Linked DNA regions of Caenorhabditis elegans. The protein of the gene in region 1 interacts with the protein of each later gene in a pairwise test. Each region holds a gene or a part of one and is shown on either strand. Other genes may lie near its edges. The genes, in order: puf-3 and cyb-2.1.

The links.
Region 2: the proteins of puf-3 (region 1) and cyb-2.1 interact in a two-hybrid assay, tested with the Caenorhabditis elegans proteins (3 studies listed by BioGRID).

What each region holds. Positions count from the first base shown.
Region 1 is NC_003282.8:13,510,223-13,513,822, forward strand, and holds puf-3 (PUM-HD domain-containing protein), read right to left. Parts: upstream 1,941-3,600; 5' UTR 1,924-1,940; coding exon 1,595-1,923; intron 1,523-1,594; coding exon 713-1,522; intron 666-712; coding exon 296-665; 3' UTR 85-295; downstream 1-84. Other genes in the region: afmd-2 (Alpha/beta hydrolase fold-3 domain-containing protein), read left to right, coding at 1-51, 2,319-2,578, 3,075-3,173; m7GpppN-mRNA hydrolase dcap-2, read right to left, coding at 3,397-3,492.
Region 2 is NC_003282.8:10,983,766-10,987,907, reverse strand, and holds cyb-2.1 (G2/mitotic-specific cyclin-B), read right to left. Parts: upstream 1,924-4,142; 5' UTR 1,907-1,923; coding exon 1,569-1,906; intron 1,481-1,568; coding exon 1,094-1,480; intron 1,050-1,093; coding exon 947-1,049; intron 905-946; coding exon 779-904; 3' UTR 482-778; downstream 1-481. Other genes in the region: Y43E12A.2 (3CxxC-type domain-containing protein), read right to left, coding at 3,326-3,448.

The DNA.
Region 1 (3,600 bases):
AGAAAATTGTGATTGGAGGACACTCAGTCGGAGCACACCTCGCATTTCAAGGTAATAATTAAACAAAATATTGCAATTAAATCTGGAAGTTTGTAAATTCTTTATTCACAGAATTTATATCAATTATTGTGCAAAACGGGGGCCGGGGTCTTCATATAATATAGAAGAGGTTGCAATACTCTTTCTACAATTTTCTAGCAATATAATAATAAAAATAATAATAGTATACACGTGAGTTGGGTGATGGTGGGGGTTAGGATTCAAATGGAAATGAATAAAAATTGCCTATGTGTATCTAGTACAAGGACATTGATTGGAGCGCTTCGATAATCTTCTTGCCCGACGAAAATCTTTCGAGGCGGTGGGCGTTTCGCATCACTCGTCCGTGAATCTTCTCGAGCCACATGCCGTACATCTCCGATTGCTTTTGATCTCGAGCATTCTGACCGAGAACACAAGTCTGGATCATCTGCTGAACAACGTAGTTTCCATATTGATGGAAGAGCAGAATGTCGAGAGCATCACGATTTGTATCCGGATGTGGAATATATCCTTCGAAGATCTCGTTCATCATCTCGGCAACGAGGCGATATGGAGCACATTCAAACGCCACTTCGACCACGTGGCTAGCGTACTTCTCCTGTGACATTGAGAGCAAATTTTGCCTGGAAATGGAAAAATACATTTGAAAATTTGACTATATAAAACATACAGAAGGCACTGCTCAATGATGATATCTCTGTAGACAGCCAACGCATCTCCACACTTGATAACGTGTTGTACCACGTAGTTCGCAAACTCGTTGGAAGCCAGCTGGGTGCAGTTACGAGTGACTCCAGCCATCAAACTGCGAAGAAGAATGACACGATGCTGGTAGCACTGAGCATATTGATCAGTCGACAAAGTTTCGACGGTCGATTGAATGACACGGCACCCATATTTGTCCTGGCAAACGTGGATGAGATTGTCGTCGTCGGCGAAGAAATCCACGAGGAAAGTCCACGAAGAGACTGGAAGCGTCTTGACAATCTTCTGAATCACGTGGTTTCCGTTTTGATCGATGCTGAGACGGACGAGGTGCGTGTCACGGAGCTCCAACGACAAACGAGTCGCAAGATGAACATCAAGCTTCTGAATAGCCAGTTGAATGACGCGGCACGCACTCTTGTCAAGGCAGAGATTGTACAAATCAGTAGCCAAGTGCTCCGTAAGAATCTCCTGCTCCTCAGTGTTCGAGCACTCCAAGACACGTTGCACAAAGAAGTTGCCAAACATGTTAGAGCAGAGCGACAAGAAGATGGCACGATCCTCGACCAGTTTACGGAAGAGTTTTTGGTGGACGTCGTTGTCGTTCTCCGTTGGATAATGCTCCTGAAGGAATCGGCATCCATTCTTATCGGTGGCAAATTCCACGAGAGCATCGTTGGCGAGCACATCCTGAAGAGTGACCGAGTCCGAGACATTTCCCTCGCCGTCGCCAGCCCAGATTGGAAGTGTGCATTTGTGGCTGCGGGTGGTCGAGCTGAAAATTTGATTATTTTTTTGAAAGTTTTAAAAATTGAGGCTCCAAGTCACTGGAAAACTCTAAACTCACTTCAAAGACTTCGAGAACGAGGCGTTGTTCTCCAAATCGATAAGTCTAACGGCCTGTTGAGGATAACGAGCCGGAGTCGTCATCGGTGTAGAAGTGCGCCATTTGGAGAATTGTCCTCCAAATCCTTGACGATTCGGAGCCCAAGCGCTCTGTGGTGTCGGTGAGGAGCTCCGAAATCCCATCGAAGAGTCCACTTTCCGATTCGGCGTCCAAATGTTGGTGGAGCTGTTGGCGTTGAAGCAACCACCGAATGTGCCACGAGCCTCCGTCGCCGTTGGCGGGCTCTCGTAGTAGCGACCGAGGTTAGAGGAACCGGTGTTTTGACTCATATTGGTACGGAGACTACCTGAAAATTTATTTTTTTGGAAGACATCGACGTTTGAATGGACGGAATAAGTGGAAAATACGATAGAATTAATGAAAATAAGAGAGCAAAATTTTGGGACGCGTCCTCGAAGACAAAAAATGAACAAAAATGAAGAAATCAGGAACCAAAATGCAAAAAATCCCGCGTTAAAATAAAAAATCCAAAATTTCCCGCGCAAAAACGAAATAAAGTACTGTAGAATTTAAAGGCGCATGTCGACGCTGCGCCGATGGGTCTCGCCACGATTGATAAATTTTGCATACCAGGAATAAAATTTATGAAAAGTTCTTGTATTCTCACTCTGTGCAAAAAAATAGCGCTTTTTTTTTGTTAAATCAAAGAAAAAAATATTTCCAGCTGTAACACGGATCCATGACCCCCGAATCAGTGGTGCCTACCTCAGCGCGGGCATCTACAAAATTCAAGAACTGACTTCCACGACTTATGGTCACGATCTTGGGTTGACTTCAGAAGAAGCAGAAACTTGTAGTTGTGATTATGAGCTTATGAAGCATGTCCGGTTCCCGGTGTTAATCGCATGTTGCAGACGGGAATCCCCAAAGTTGTACCAACAAAATCAGGATTTTTCTAGTCAAGTTGCAAATGCTCAGTACAAGGTTTGAGCTATTTTGGACCGAAAAAAAAACCCCGTTTTAGGGTCTTGGCACGATTTTTAAAATATTTTTTTAACGAGTTTCACGCCAAAACCACGTTACCTGGTCTCGACACGATAGATTTTTGCTAAATGAGAACAGATATATGCGCCTTTAAAGATTACTGTAGATTTAAAAATATATTTATTTTATTTGGAAAACTCATATATTACGATAAAAACACATTCTTAAGAAAATAGATTATTTAAAATTCCGCAAAAACCAAATTTCAAAAGTACAGTACTCTTTAAAGGCGCACACCTTTTCATATTCGTCGTGTCGAGACCATGTATGGTATTTTTGACGCAAACCCCATAAAATCTCACGTCTGGATGATAAAACACGAGGAAACAACAAAAATCTATGAAATTTCGAGAAAATTACAGTAGTCTTTTTTTAAAGGCGCACGTATTTTCGCAATCAGCAAAAATTTGTCGCGTCGAGACCATTTTTGTTTCAGGAATACGAAAATGAAGATCATTTCACAATCCTGACAGAGCTCACAAAAGAGGAGAGCATCGTGTACGCCGACTTCTTCAACTTTCTTTATTCAATTTAATTGTACATTTTTTTTTCCAAAAAATAAAAATCAGATTTCTTGTTGGGTGTGGGAAACCTACAAATCTACATGAAAACCTTAAAATATAGCAAATTGTTTAACAAGGTTTCATGACTAAAATGAAGTAAATAGATAGGAAACATGTGGGTTTAGGAGCAAAAAAAAAAAGATACAGACAAGAGTGAATATATATTGAAATTACAAGTATTTTATTATATTTTATTTATGGTAATTGTGGTCCAGTGCCAGAAACGGGAGATTTTGTAGAGAATTGTTGCATCCAAAATGACAATGGTCCAACCACATAATCAATGTCAAGCTGGAATTTTTTTAGTTGTAAAATCTATAATATTTTTGTAAAAAAAAGTACTGTCTAATTTAAAAAAAAAACGAGCGTCGTTTTGCAAACCCGCGGCGCGCTTTTTCA
Region 2 (4,142 bases), 2.5 Mb from region 1:
TGATACCTGAAAATGTACTCAAAATAATTATTAATTAATACTTATTTATGAGGAGGAAATAAAATGAGATGTTTATAAAACTTATTGATCGGAACTCTCAGTCAGTGAAATTTTGAACTTGATATGATTTTAAGAAACGCTGAATAGTTTTATTAGTTTTTTGAAAACTACCAAGCACATAAAAATTCAGCGTTTAAAAATGAAGACATCTTTTAAGTAAAAATTTTTTAAATCTGCGCAAGCACTCGAATTTTCAGGAAAAAAATGGAACGCACCAGGTGCTAAAAATAAATATGATGATAGTCCTCGCGGATTACACGAAGCATGGAAGAGGCTTTTAATGTGGCCGTCGGTTTTGAAAACGCGCGCTGTTCAAAAAATATTACTTTCCCAATTTTTTAATTTTTTAGAAAAAGGCAAATAAACTATTTAATGCAAGATTAGCTTGTATCTGGTTGTTTTAATAATGTTGTAAATTTCTACAATTTAGTACAAGATTTATGCTTATTTCATTTAACATTATTTAATAGCACATAGATTTCATCAGCAAGTTTTTGCTCATTCTAGTTAAAATATCAGATTTGGACAGGAGTGAAGACTAAATAAGTTAGTATGAGATAGATACAAAAGAAGGTGCGAAAAAGATTTGATACGATGTGTTAGAGATTTCGAAGATTGGGGAAATGGAACAGAAAAAGTACATGAATATAAGCCGAAGGTAAGTGCAATGGGGAAACAAGCAGAACACAGGAACGTATTGGGTGATGAAGTATAGTTCTCATTCCATTTCTGATGTTTCAGCTTCTGAAGCCTCAACGTTGCGCCCCATCCGGTGAATTTTCTCCAAGATTTCGTCGGTCATCAAGTAGGATACTCGTCCAAACTTGCTCGACTGGTACTTTTCCTGAAAACAAAACTGAGTAAACATTTTGTAAAAATATATTACTCTAATGGCGCAAAGCTTCTGATGTCTGAAGTTTTTATATGCGACTTGAGCGAGCAGAGCGATAGCATCATAAATATCTTGCTTGGAGGCTCCTAATTGTTTGCTGAAACAAATTCTTGTAAAATTTTCGAAAAAAATTGAATCTACCGAATCATCGATGCAGCAGTCTTCGGATTAATTCCATCAACGGTGATAACATTGAGAGTGATGATCATCGAAGCACTGGCAACGTGCGACCTTGGAACCGTAGACATGACCGAATCGAGCAATGCGAGTTCTCCGAGACACTTGGAGATATTGTGCACATAATAGAACGCTTCCTTATCGATTGGATTGACGTCATTCTCTGTGAGAGTTTTTGAAATACAGCGGAGGAAGACAAGCGAAGATGGGCAGGACAAGTCAAAGTTCAAGGCGTTGAGGATGGTCTGTTCCATAGCCATTATCTGCTTCTTGCTGAATGTGTTATCAGTGATCATCTCGTATTCGAGGATGTCTGGCAAGTAAATATCTTCGAATTTGGAGGCAACGAACCTGAAATCATTAATATTGCATAAAAACTATTGTTAATTTTCTGATCTACAAAAGATTATCTATAATTTTACAAAAAAAACGATCTTACAAAGCTGCAACACCGAGAAGCTGGAATTCCGCCTTGGAGACAATGTTCTTCACGATAATTCGATCCAGAACGAAAATCGTCAGGTGAAGCGTCTCAGGGGTGAGGTGGAAGCGAAGATGAACTTGGATAAGCCAGTCAACAAGGATGCGGCGCATCTTAGAATTAACATTTCCTCCATTTATGAAGCTGTCGTCAAGAACATATTTCTTCTCGTGATGAACAAGGTAGTTGTAAATGTCTTCAGCCATAGCGATACAATTCAACACTTCCTCCAGGTTTGTTCTTGGCCCAACGGCATTTTTCGTGGTTTTTCTAATGCTTGTAGTAACTCGCAACATTTTATCGAGACCTCCGGCTGAAAAAATTAGTCTTAAAAAAAGTATTATACAAAACTTTAGATAAAAATATATGAAGGAAGAATTAGTATTTAACAAAATATAGGCAAATTGCAACTATCAGGAAAAATAGATAAATTGGTTTTGAAACGCCAAAAATTTAGGAAAATGAAAAAGGAGCCACACACAAAAAACAGAATACAAATTGTGCTGCGCGCGCGCCAGAAAAAAAAACTTTTTTTCAGGTATGATGTGCAGGTGTGGTGGTTTACTGTAGCGGGTTAGAATTTCAAGTCTAGATTATCAATAAATTTAAAATGGACAGAACTTCTTCAAATTTTCATATTATTTTTTACAGTGTATAAGTCGCTGCTTTGAATTTCAAAAAAAAAAAGATGACAGTTTTCAATATTTCATAGCGACTCTGGCAGTTCACCAAAAATAGTGACTCTGGCAGTTCACTAAAAATAGTGACTCTGGCAGTTCACTAAAAATAGTGACTCTGGTTGTTCACCAAAAATTGTGACTCTGGCAGTTCACCAAACATAGTGACTCTGGCAGTTCACTAGCTCTAAAGTTTCCATTCTAGGTCCAATATTACAGTGCTTCGTTACAGTACTATTTTAGAAGGGGTAACGAGGAATTTTTTGGAAAAAAAATCGTAAAGAGAGTAACGAGGATTTTTTTTGAAAAAAATCTGTAAGGGGGGTAACGAGGAATTTTTTTGGAAAAAAAAATTGTAAGCGGGGGAACGAGGAAATTTTCGCGAAAAATAGTAGGGGGGGGGGGGGGTAACGAATTTTTTAATCTATGTGTTCCCAGAATAATTTACTCTCTGAGTTCACTAATAAATTTACTCTCTGGGTTCACTTAAAATTTTAAGAATATTTCAAATATATTTCAAATATATTTCAAATATATTTCAAATAGAAAAAAAAACAAGACTTCTAAGTGGGTGTGTTTAAGATTTCTATATAATTAAAGTTTTATTCTCAATACACTTTTATTACTCTCTTGAAACCTACACTTATTATTACAAGACCGGGGTGTGAATGGTGAAAAGAAAACAATTATAAAATTTTTACACAGACAAAGAGTATAGAGATGAAGAAGAAATAAAAGTGATCATCAAATATATAGAAAGAGTTTTTCAGGATGAATAAATTCAGAAATTTACAGAGTACCTGGAGACAGTTGAGAAAGTGGTCGGGCGGCATGGAAAGTGTGGGATGGGAAAGGGAAAATGGTTTAGGAACGACATGTACACACAAAATAGAAAAAGTGGAGAAGAATTGAAAGCTCTCTGATTTTCATAGAAATCTAGCAGAAATTTTGTGAAGAAAACAATATGATACAAATAGGATGGACAAATGGGTTCCTATATCGACTAGAGAATGTTATTTTGTTTCATTGTCAATAAAATCAATGACGACGTGATATCTCTTCGTGTTTCCGTGCTGGAGGTCTTCCGTGTCCAATTGGGGCTACTTTTGTGACATTTTGAGCCTTGATGAGACCAAGTGTCACTGCTTTTTCTACGGGCAACTGAAAAAAAAAAATAAAGTTGAATAATTTTTATAGAATTTTAAATGTAATTTCTCAGCTTTGGAAAATTAAAACCAGACATTCGTTCATGAATATTTCAAAAAATGTTCAGTTTTTTTCGAATTTACCGTTAAAGTTTTGGTAAATTTCCTAAATTTCAAAAAAAAACATTTACTTTTTGAGAGAAACGAGCACTGCTGGTTTTAACCTTACATTATTTGAATTCAAATACAAATAGTTAAAATATAAAAACAATTACATGTTGAATTTCAAAGTTAGGGATAACTAAAGATTGAGTAAATGCCACCTTTGGACTGTAACTAAAAACATAACAAAGTGAACAATTTGTGAATTATTGTAATATTATATTTGGTCAACGCTTCATAAATGATTGAATTAGAAAAGCAGTTAATCAAAACTAGCATGTTTGGGTTACTGTATGTGGTTGTTTAGTGAAAAAATGCCAAGATATGGGTGGGCCTGTTTGTTAATGTGTGAATTTTGTTAACCATAAATTTATTTTAAACGATAGAGGTAATGCCGAACATACTGCACAAACGTCTTCGGATTGAGATTAAAATTTACGCTTTAACTAGCTTAATGGAATCATCAGGACACTCAACAGTTGGCAGAGCACTTCAAGTTTACTAGATGTTTTCCTTATCACGAGATTCAGAAAACTCATTAGCTGACA